Linked DNA regions of Yarrowia lipolytica. The protein of the gene in region 1 binds, or shares a complex with, the protein of each later gene. Links are inferred from orthologs where the notes say so. Each region holds a gene or a part of one and is shown in the gene's direction. Other genes may lie near its edges. The genes, in order: YALI1_B19747g and YALI1_A01777g.

What was found.
Region 2: the proteins of YALI1_B19747g (region 1) and YALI1_A01777g are in contact, whole or in part, in a crystal structure (PDB 2Z3F), measured with the Schizosaccharomyces pombe proteins. The link is inferred for Yarrowia lipolytica from reciprocal best matches to the Schizosaccharomyces pombe genes pcf2 and asf1. Residues at the interface, in NP_594450.1 of Schizosaccharomyces pombe: Lys503, Arg504, Ile505, Ala506, Pro507, Thr508, Pro509, Val510, Tyr511; in NP_588267.1 of Schizosaccharomyces pombe: Phe28, Asp37, Leu60, Leu61, Val62, Gly63, Pro64, Ile65, Pro66, Gly68, Ile69, Asn70, Lys71, Phe72, Val73.

The regions. Positions count from the first base shown.
Region 1 is NC_090771.1:1,971,967-1,976,461, reverse strand, and holds YALI1_B19747g (uncharacterized protein), read left to right. Parts: upstream 1-1,731; coding exon 1,732-3,822; downstream 3,823-4,495. Other genes in the region: YALI1_B19774g (uncharacterized protein), read left to right, coding at 1-418; YALI1_B19713g (mitochondrial 37S ribosomal protein bS1m), read right to left, coding at 4,264-4,495. UniProt on the Schizosaccharomyces pombe protein: Acts as a component of the histone chaperone complex chromatin assembly factor 1 (CAF-1), which assembles histone octamers onto DNA during replication and repair.
Region 2 is NC_090770.1:176,285-179,828, reverse strand, and holds YALI1_A01777g (uncharacterized protein), read left to right. Parts: upstream 1-1,547; coding exon 1,548-1,656; intron 1,657-2,035; coding exon 2,036-2,724; downstream 2,725-3,544. Other genes in the region: YALI1_A01794g (uncharacterized protein), read right to left, coding at 1-334; YALI1_A01766g (uncharacterized protein), read left to right, coding at 3,211-3,544. UniProt on the Schizosaccharomyces pombe protein: Histone chaperone that facilitates histone deposition and histone exchange and removal during nucleosome assembly and disassembly.

The DNA.
Region 1 (4,495 bases):
CACTCGGCGTGACGAGAAACTGGTTCTGGAGCAGGTGCAGGGGGTGGGCCACAGAGACACGTGGAAGGTGTTGCAGATAGGCTACGTTGCCGGAAAGGTCTGGGCCTTACGTTTGGCACCTGATACGCTCGAGGCTGCCGCTAGATGCGTAACAGAAAAGATGCCTACCGAATTGCTGATCGCCACTAGCAAGGATGCTAAGAGCGCCGACAGTCTGAAGATTGACAACTGGACCGGCATCGACGAAGGCTGTGCCGCACTGCAAGAGATGCGCATCTTCACCACGGTCAAGGAGCAGGTTCTGTACCGTATCGAGCCCGTCAACCCCAAGCAGAAGAAGGCAGTATCAGCAGGACGAGTCAAAAAGTCTCGACAGGCGAAGAAAGACAAGTCTGCATTTTTGGGGAGCTATTATTAAAGCGGTAGTTGACTGAAAAAAGGCACATGCCAAATCAGACAATCGAGATAAGGTTGTGTGGAGTCAAATAGGCAAGCCTTGTGTCTCATGTGTACTGTAGATATTGTTTCAATCGACGTAAATGTACATATCGTATTACACAATCGAATGTGACAACCATCGTACTTGTGGAACTTATGTGTGCTGAAACCAGACTACTGTAGCTAGAGTTGTAATATTCGCCAGTTACAGGTATTATACGAGGCACACAAGGACAAGAGTTATCTTAGAGCCAGTTAGCAGTCTTATTAGTGCCTCGACAAGTCATAGAATGTCAGCTATGAAATCTTGATTGGGGACGTGGGATACCTGATAACCGCCTTCTGCTATTGAAAATTATGACATACTTATGGATACGAGCTACCCTGTAGAGCTACTTGAACGGTGCAGTAAGGCTTTGCACGGAGGAGGGGGTACAGCGGCTTCTGTGTGTGGTGTTCTACAGTGGGCAGGCACAATATGATACAAGTACATACTGTAGATTCGGTAGGTCGATGCTTGATGTATCGTACAAGGTGGGGTATTTTATTTTTCGTGGTGCGCGACTTGTGCCAAGACGTGAGCCCCATGGAATATGGGGATTCCACCTGTCAGGAGGGGGGACAGTTATACGCCAGGATCCAATAGCATCCAATTCAAATGCAAATGCAAATGCAACCAGCGGATTAGCCTTCACGATAGCCTGACTCGTGTTTTATTTTGATGGAGAGACAATGACAAAAGAGCGACACTGAACGTAGCTACCACTACGGTACATACCTTGTGATGTTCGGTCGTTTTTGGTATTCCATTGCAACATGCATGATTTAGGATGTGTGAGAGTACAAGTACTGTAGTCTTACTGTAGTTTATACTACGGCACCGTGTAATGTTGTCTTGTGAGTAGAAATATTTTCTGTTAGTGGCCAACAGCTTGTGTTGAAGCCCCTCTTTGACCCTTCCGTTCTCTTTGGCCTGAGCGACCGGGCAGATGTTTTTGGCAGATCCATTTCTCCCAACCCCCCAACCTTGCCTAATTGTTAGGACCGAGACCATAACGTCTAATTAAGCTACAGTAAGTAGAGTTTGTCCCAACATGCGAGGAGCGTCCACAGTGTGCATATTAGCTGGGTGGTGGGTATAGACTAAATTGGTGAAACCGACGACAGCAAAAAAGGAAGACAACTGGGCCGGACATTTAGAAAAAGTTGGGAGAGACAGGACTCAGCACACCAGGAAGCAACACAACCCATTGAAGACGACACATACCCGCTCGCCGGCCATTCCGCATCATCATGAAGGCCAAACCATTAACGATCCATTGGCACACCGACAGTGAGCCAATCTATTCACTAGACCTGCAGAAGGGCAAATATCATGGGGGAAGCCGTCTGGCAACTGCCGGAGGAGATGGTAACGTGCGAATATGGAGAGTCTCCAAGCCCGAGACTTCCGACACAGACACGATCGATAACTTATCGGTTGAGTATCTCGCTACCCTGACCAAGCACGAAGGAGCGGTTAACGTGGTACGGTTCGATCCCACGGGCCAACTGCTGGCCTCAGCCGGAGATGACAAGACGCTTGTAATCTGGTCGCTGGTAACCCGCAACGGCGAAATTGTGCCGCCAAAGAAGGAGTTTGGGCGGGACGATGTGGACGAAGAGTCGTGGAAACCGCGTACCCCGTTCGTTATGCACAAGCTGGACGCGAAACGCCCTCCACCGGAGGTGTATGATATTGCATGGTCGCCAGACTCGCAGTTCATTCTAGTGGGCTGCATGGACAACATTGGAAGGATATTCAGCGTGGCCACGGGTCAATGTGTTAGAGAAGTGGCCGAACACTCACACTATGTCCAGGGTGTGGCATGGGACCCTCTCAACGAGTACCTAGCTACACAGAGCAGCGATCGGTCCGTTCATATCTATGCACTCAAAAATAGAGAAGGAACGTATCTTCTGGATGCTGCTGAGCAGGAAAAGAACAGACTGGAGCTCCATCAAAAGTCTAACAAGGCAGAGCTGCCAGTTAAGAACGCGCCCTCCACACCAGTCATGTCATCGTCACAACTGTCATCAACTTCAGGCTCTCTGACGCCCTCAAGCCACCATCATCACGACATTGATGTGGGCACACCCAGCACTCCTGTCGGAAACATGAACCCTCCTTCCAGTACTCAGACACACTCGCGAAAGTCTTCTTTTAGCGGCTCCAACAGAAGCGAGAGTCCCCTGCCTTCCTCATTCATTCCTCTGCCAGCAGTCAAACCAGCGGAGTCGCCCAAGGTCAGAAACTCGGCGTTATACCAGAACGAGTCATTTCCGTCCTTCTTCAGAAGACTATCCTTCAGTCCCGATGGCAGTCTGCTCTTCACGCCAAGTGGAGTGTTCAAGTACGAAAACACAAACGCAGACACGAACACGGTCTATATCTACTCACGGGCAGGGCTGAACAAGCCACCCGTTGCTTACCTTCCGGGCCTTCACAAACCATCACTGGCAGTCAAATGTTGTCCTCTTCTCTTCAAGCTCCGTGGAACTCCTGTTGACACAGCAAACATCACTAAAGATAACACACCAGCTGGAGCCCCTAAGAATGACGAGACTGGCGAGAAAATGAGCTCTCCGGCATTCGCACTGCCCTACAGAGTCATCTACGCGGTGGCAACCCAGGACTCTGTGGTCATCTACGACACAGAACAGCATCATCCACTCGGTATTGCCACCAGCTTGCATTTTGCCCCTCTGACTGATCTGTCGTGGTCCGACGACGGCCGGAATCTCTTTGTGTCTTCTGTCGACGGCTTCTGTTCAGCTCTGACGTTTAGCAAGGAGGATCTGGGGGAGTTGTACACAGGAGAGGTCCCAGCTACCTCTACGGTAACTGGTGCTGCCCCTACTGCCACTCCAATGAAGACTCCACCCACCAGCTCAAATGAAACCCTGAGTGACAACCGGCCAAAGTTCTCGCAGCTGCCCACCGTTCCTTCCTTCACACCCACCTCCAACTCTTCGTCGGTGTTCAGAAGCATGTCTGCATCTTCCAGCCCGGCATCGGGAAGTTCTCAGATGAACATCATGACCCCGACTCATCGGCCTTTGCAAACAGTCAATGTTCCAGGTCTGTCTTCAGCCGAGTTGGACTCCATCTCCCGAGGGGCTTACGGAACTGCTAACCTAAGTCGACATGAGCGGGCCAGTTCCACTTCGTCTACAGATACTCAACGATCCGACTTTATCGCCCAGCCGCAGCCCAAAAAGAAACGACGTATTGCACCTACGTTGGTTCCTGAATCTACAGGTTCTTCTTCTCCTGCCAGTTCAACTTCGGCTCCAGCTACTGTCGACTCGGTGCTTAACAATGAGCCTCACGATAAAAAATGAACGCTACAGGATACCGGAGCGGCGCGTATATAATCAATAATTAATATGGATAAAAGAATAGATTTTGTGCTTGAGATATACAGCTACTGTACATACTGTATTTAATGGGATTGTGAGTAAATTAAGGACCTTTTACGCTTTTTTTTCTTCATTTTTTCTTCTTCTTTCAACTGTCCACATTTACTTGTATTCAGACACCGTGGTACAAGTATTGTACCTTGTGCTTGTAATATTTATACCACTGACAAAAGCGTGGATTCAGATTTGCTATCTGTTAAACCACAACCAGAGAGTCTTATTCTAAGTAGAGTCTCGCACTCGTATGTACATACCGTACATACTGTATACAGCTCACGCTCTTTCACATTTATTCATTCAAAGAGCTACTTTCCAACCATAACGACCAGGTTCAACATTTTAATTTATTTATGTACAAAGTGCTTATTTAATCATGTTGTTGATGAGGTCGGAGCTGGAAGCGGCGCGGGGAGATCGGCTTCCTCGGGGAGAGTAGTTAGTGTCTCGCTTGCCCTGGACAGTCATGACAATGTTTCCAGTCTTGCTGTCAATGGCAGAGGTCTGGACGTTGAAGTGAGAGACTCGCTGGCCATCTCGGTAGGGAGCGGTGGCTCGAGTGTGGTCGAGATCAAGCTTAGCAACGACACCTCCGATG
Region 2 (3,544 bases), on another chromosome or scaffold:
TGGTACCGCTGCTTTCAAAGGTGATGTTGCCTGGCTCCAGATACGGAAGAATCGACAGCGAGTAGAGAATCACGTGGCCGCCGGACGTGATGACGCCCACGTGGGAGCCGTCGCGTTTGGTGATGATCTTGCGGTTGACGCCGTACGTGTCCAGGCTCGATGCGCTGCGGGAGTGGACCGCCACTGGAAACAGTGGGTTGAGCTGGTAGATGTAGATGGAGGAGTGGGTGAGGGCTATGAGGAAAAAGCCGGATCGCGACGCCTCAATGGCTATGCACTCGTCGTCGGGCGCCAGCAGTTTGACGCTTTGCGGCGCAGACACCGGCCACGACATTTCGGACTGCGAGTGTGATAGTCGATAATGGTGACACCTATGTTATGCATGTTTCACAGTAGCCCGGCATGCCGAGCTTTATAGAGTGTGGCATTTAGAGTTGGCCGTGAGGTTGCGTCCGACTACTACGAGTCCGAGAATAGTGCCGTTTTGAGAGGGCGAAAAACGTGTTCTTGGCGCGGCTCGAGGAAGGGGCCGTGCCAAGAGACACGGGCTGATTTTTGGCACAATTATGACCACAAATGCCGTCTCAACAAGGACTCTTGCGGGTTGAAACATTGGGGGGGGGGTCGTTGTCCAATAGTCTATATACGCTATATACGCGATGTATTGTACTGTATGGTGACATCAGAGGTCGCGATATTCTGTATTTGAGAGGTTATAAACAAACGATATTGAGATGAGATAATTTTACATGCTTCTACGAGTCGATTGGTACTTTTTTCTGTCACATCCGACCTCTGGTTCGTCCCCAGCACCGAAAAGAAAGAGTCTGGAAACGCCCGATTTTCGAATCAACGATACGGCTGTCAGTTTTCAGAATTTCCAGCATTTTATAGCATGATTGCAACTATCACATATGGTTTTACCCAATAACCGATTTATATTCTTGAAAATTGCGTCGAAAGGTGGTTAAAATCGCACTTGAAGTTGGGCAACACGTGACTTGATTGGCTGGGTGTGTAGTCCCAACGCTTTTTAAACTTAGCTGTAATGGCATTTTGTCGGAGTGGTAAATCGTCTTCTTGTTGTGCGTTCGAGTCTTGGGCTCTGCACTTGGCCATTTGGTTGTCCTTTCCGAATTCTGCGGTTGATGGGCGTCTCGGTCTGAGTAATCGGCTTTGAGATTTCCGTTCTAAGATTAACTGGGAAACTTCAGTGGAGCAATCCAGCAGAGATCCAGTTGCCGTGGGTATGGCGGTGGGATCGCAACCAAGTGGTATATGTTATGGAAGATATTTACGATCACGATTTTTTGTTTCGAACGAAGGGGCGGATCATCAGACATTTGTTTTTCAGTCATTCCTAGCACGCAATCTACAATTACGGTACTTGTGCGCTCGTACTCGCTCGTACTCTCACCGTCAATTCTTGCACTCACGCGGTTCACTTGTCTTAAAGTTTGCTAAATTAAAAGTGACGCGTCTTACGCTTGCCTGTACAATCTTTTCTTCCTACTACACACACACGAGACACATCCGTCACAATCACAATGTCTATCGTTTCGTTACTCAACATTGACGTTCTCAACAACCCTGCGCCGTTCGGCAGCCCCTACGAGTTCCAGATCACCTTTGAGTGTCTCGAGCCTTTGAAGCATGGTGAGTAGACCGGGGAGAGCGGTGGTAGGCAGTGCGATGGCCACATGGAGGGCCACATGGAGAGACACATGGAGAGCCAGTGGCAGAGACTATTCCAATCTAATTGACGTTGGATTGATGTCAAGTTGTTGATTGGTTCTTTTTTAGGTGCATTGATCGGGAGTTGTAGGCTGGTGGATGAGGCTGTCATAGGGGTTCATGGAGTGTCTCCATCTCAGCATCTATCCAAGTGTTGGTTGAGCATCCACCAATGTTGATTGAGCTAATCAGCAATTGTCCATCAGTTGATGGGGTTGAGATGGATTACTATTCCTGGTTCATCAACTGGGTCCTCAAGGGCTTCGGTTTACGAATGTCCCAATATCTCTTACTAACACAGACCTCGAATGGAAACTCACATACGTTGGTTCGTCCACATCTTTCGAACACGACCAGGAACTCGACTCGCTTCTGGTGGGCCCGGTTCCCGTTGGAGTCAACAAGTTCGTCTTCACGGCCGACCCACCCACAGTTGACCTGATTCCCGCGTCCGAGCTGGTTTCTGTCACCGTCATCATTCTGTCGTGTTCTTACAACGACCGCGAGTTTGTACGAGTCGGATACTACGTCAACAACGAGTACGACAGCGAGGAGCTGCGCCTCAACCCCCCTCCAAAGGTGCAGGTGGACCATGTGGTGCGAAACATTCTTGCTGAGAAGCCCCGGGTGACTCGATTCAACATTGTGTGGGACAATGAGGGCGAGCAGGGCGAGGAGTTCCCTCCTGAGCAGCCCGACGCCGACCTTGAAGACGATGAGGAGGAATATGGAGCGGGAGAAGAGGAAGAGGAGGTTGAGGAGGAGGTCGAGGGAGAGACTGAGGCTGACGCCAAGGAAGACATTGAGGCTGAGGGTGAAGCGGAGGCCGAGGGCGACGGCGACGGTGACGGCGACGGAGAGGACGAGGATCTCGAGGAGGCCTCCGATGAGGAGATGGAGGTTGTGGATGATGAGGTTGGAGAGGAGTCTGAGGGCGAGGACGACAAGGAAGACAAGGACGACAAGGACGACAAAAAGGACGACAAGTGATTGTACGGTAATGTATTTATTTGTATTAATAGAATGATGAATGTTAGTAAGCAGAAATCCATCTTATACAGCGTTTGCATGTTTCAAGCGGCCCCGACCAAAACAGCCACTCCCAAACATTGCAGCCCTAACCGCGAGACGCGGGCTCTCACCCTTTAATTAATTTGGCAACTTTATTACGCGTTGCTAGGGGGTAACCGTGGCGGGGTTTGACGGGGCGATTGTGCGACGATAGACGGAATATGACGGAAATTTTGAGATATTTGTGAATTTCCAAGCTCTCGGAGGTCACAATTACCGACTCCAATCGTTTCATTCACCCGTTGCCCGGTTGTATGGTGTGGTGTTCGATCGTGTATTCTTTTTCAGTAAACTTTCTACTTGTCCCGAATAGGAATAGTAACGAACGCGTGTGCACACTTCCTCCCAGTGCGAAAAGAACTCTCATCAACACCTCACCACACCCCCCGCCACACAAGATCCGCAATGTCCTTCGATACAGGAAGAGTGTATTCCACACAAGTGCTGCCCGGCGACGACGACCGGGTCGAGGACACCAACGTCGGACTCACCCGCAAGTACGCCGACTTCATCCGCGAGTTCTACATTGACGGCAATTTCATCTACCGAGACCAGCTGCAAGACAACATTCTGGGCGGCATTCTGACCATAGAAGTGGACATTGCTCATGTCCGAGCGTACGATGGAGATCTGGGTCAACGGCTGGCGGACGACCCCACCGGAATGCTCAATCTGTTCCAGCTGGCTGCTGCCAACGTGGCAAGACGACTAATCAACCCTTATATGGATGAGGCAGACG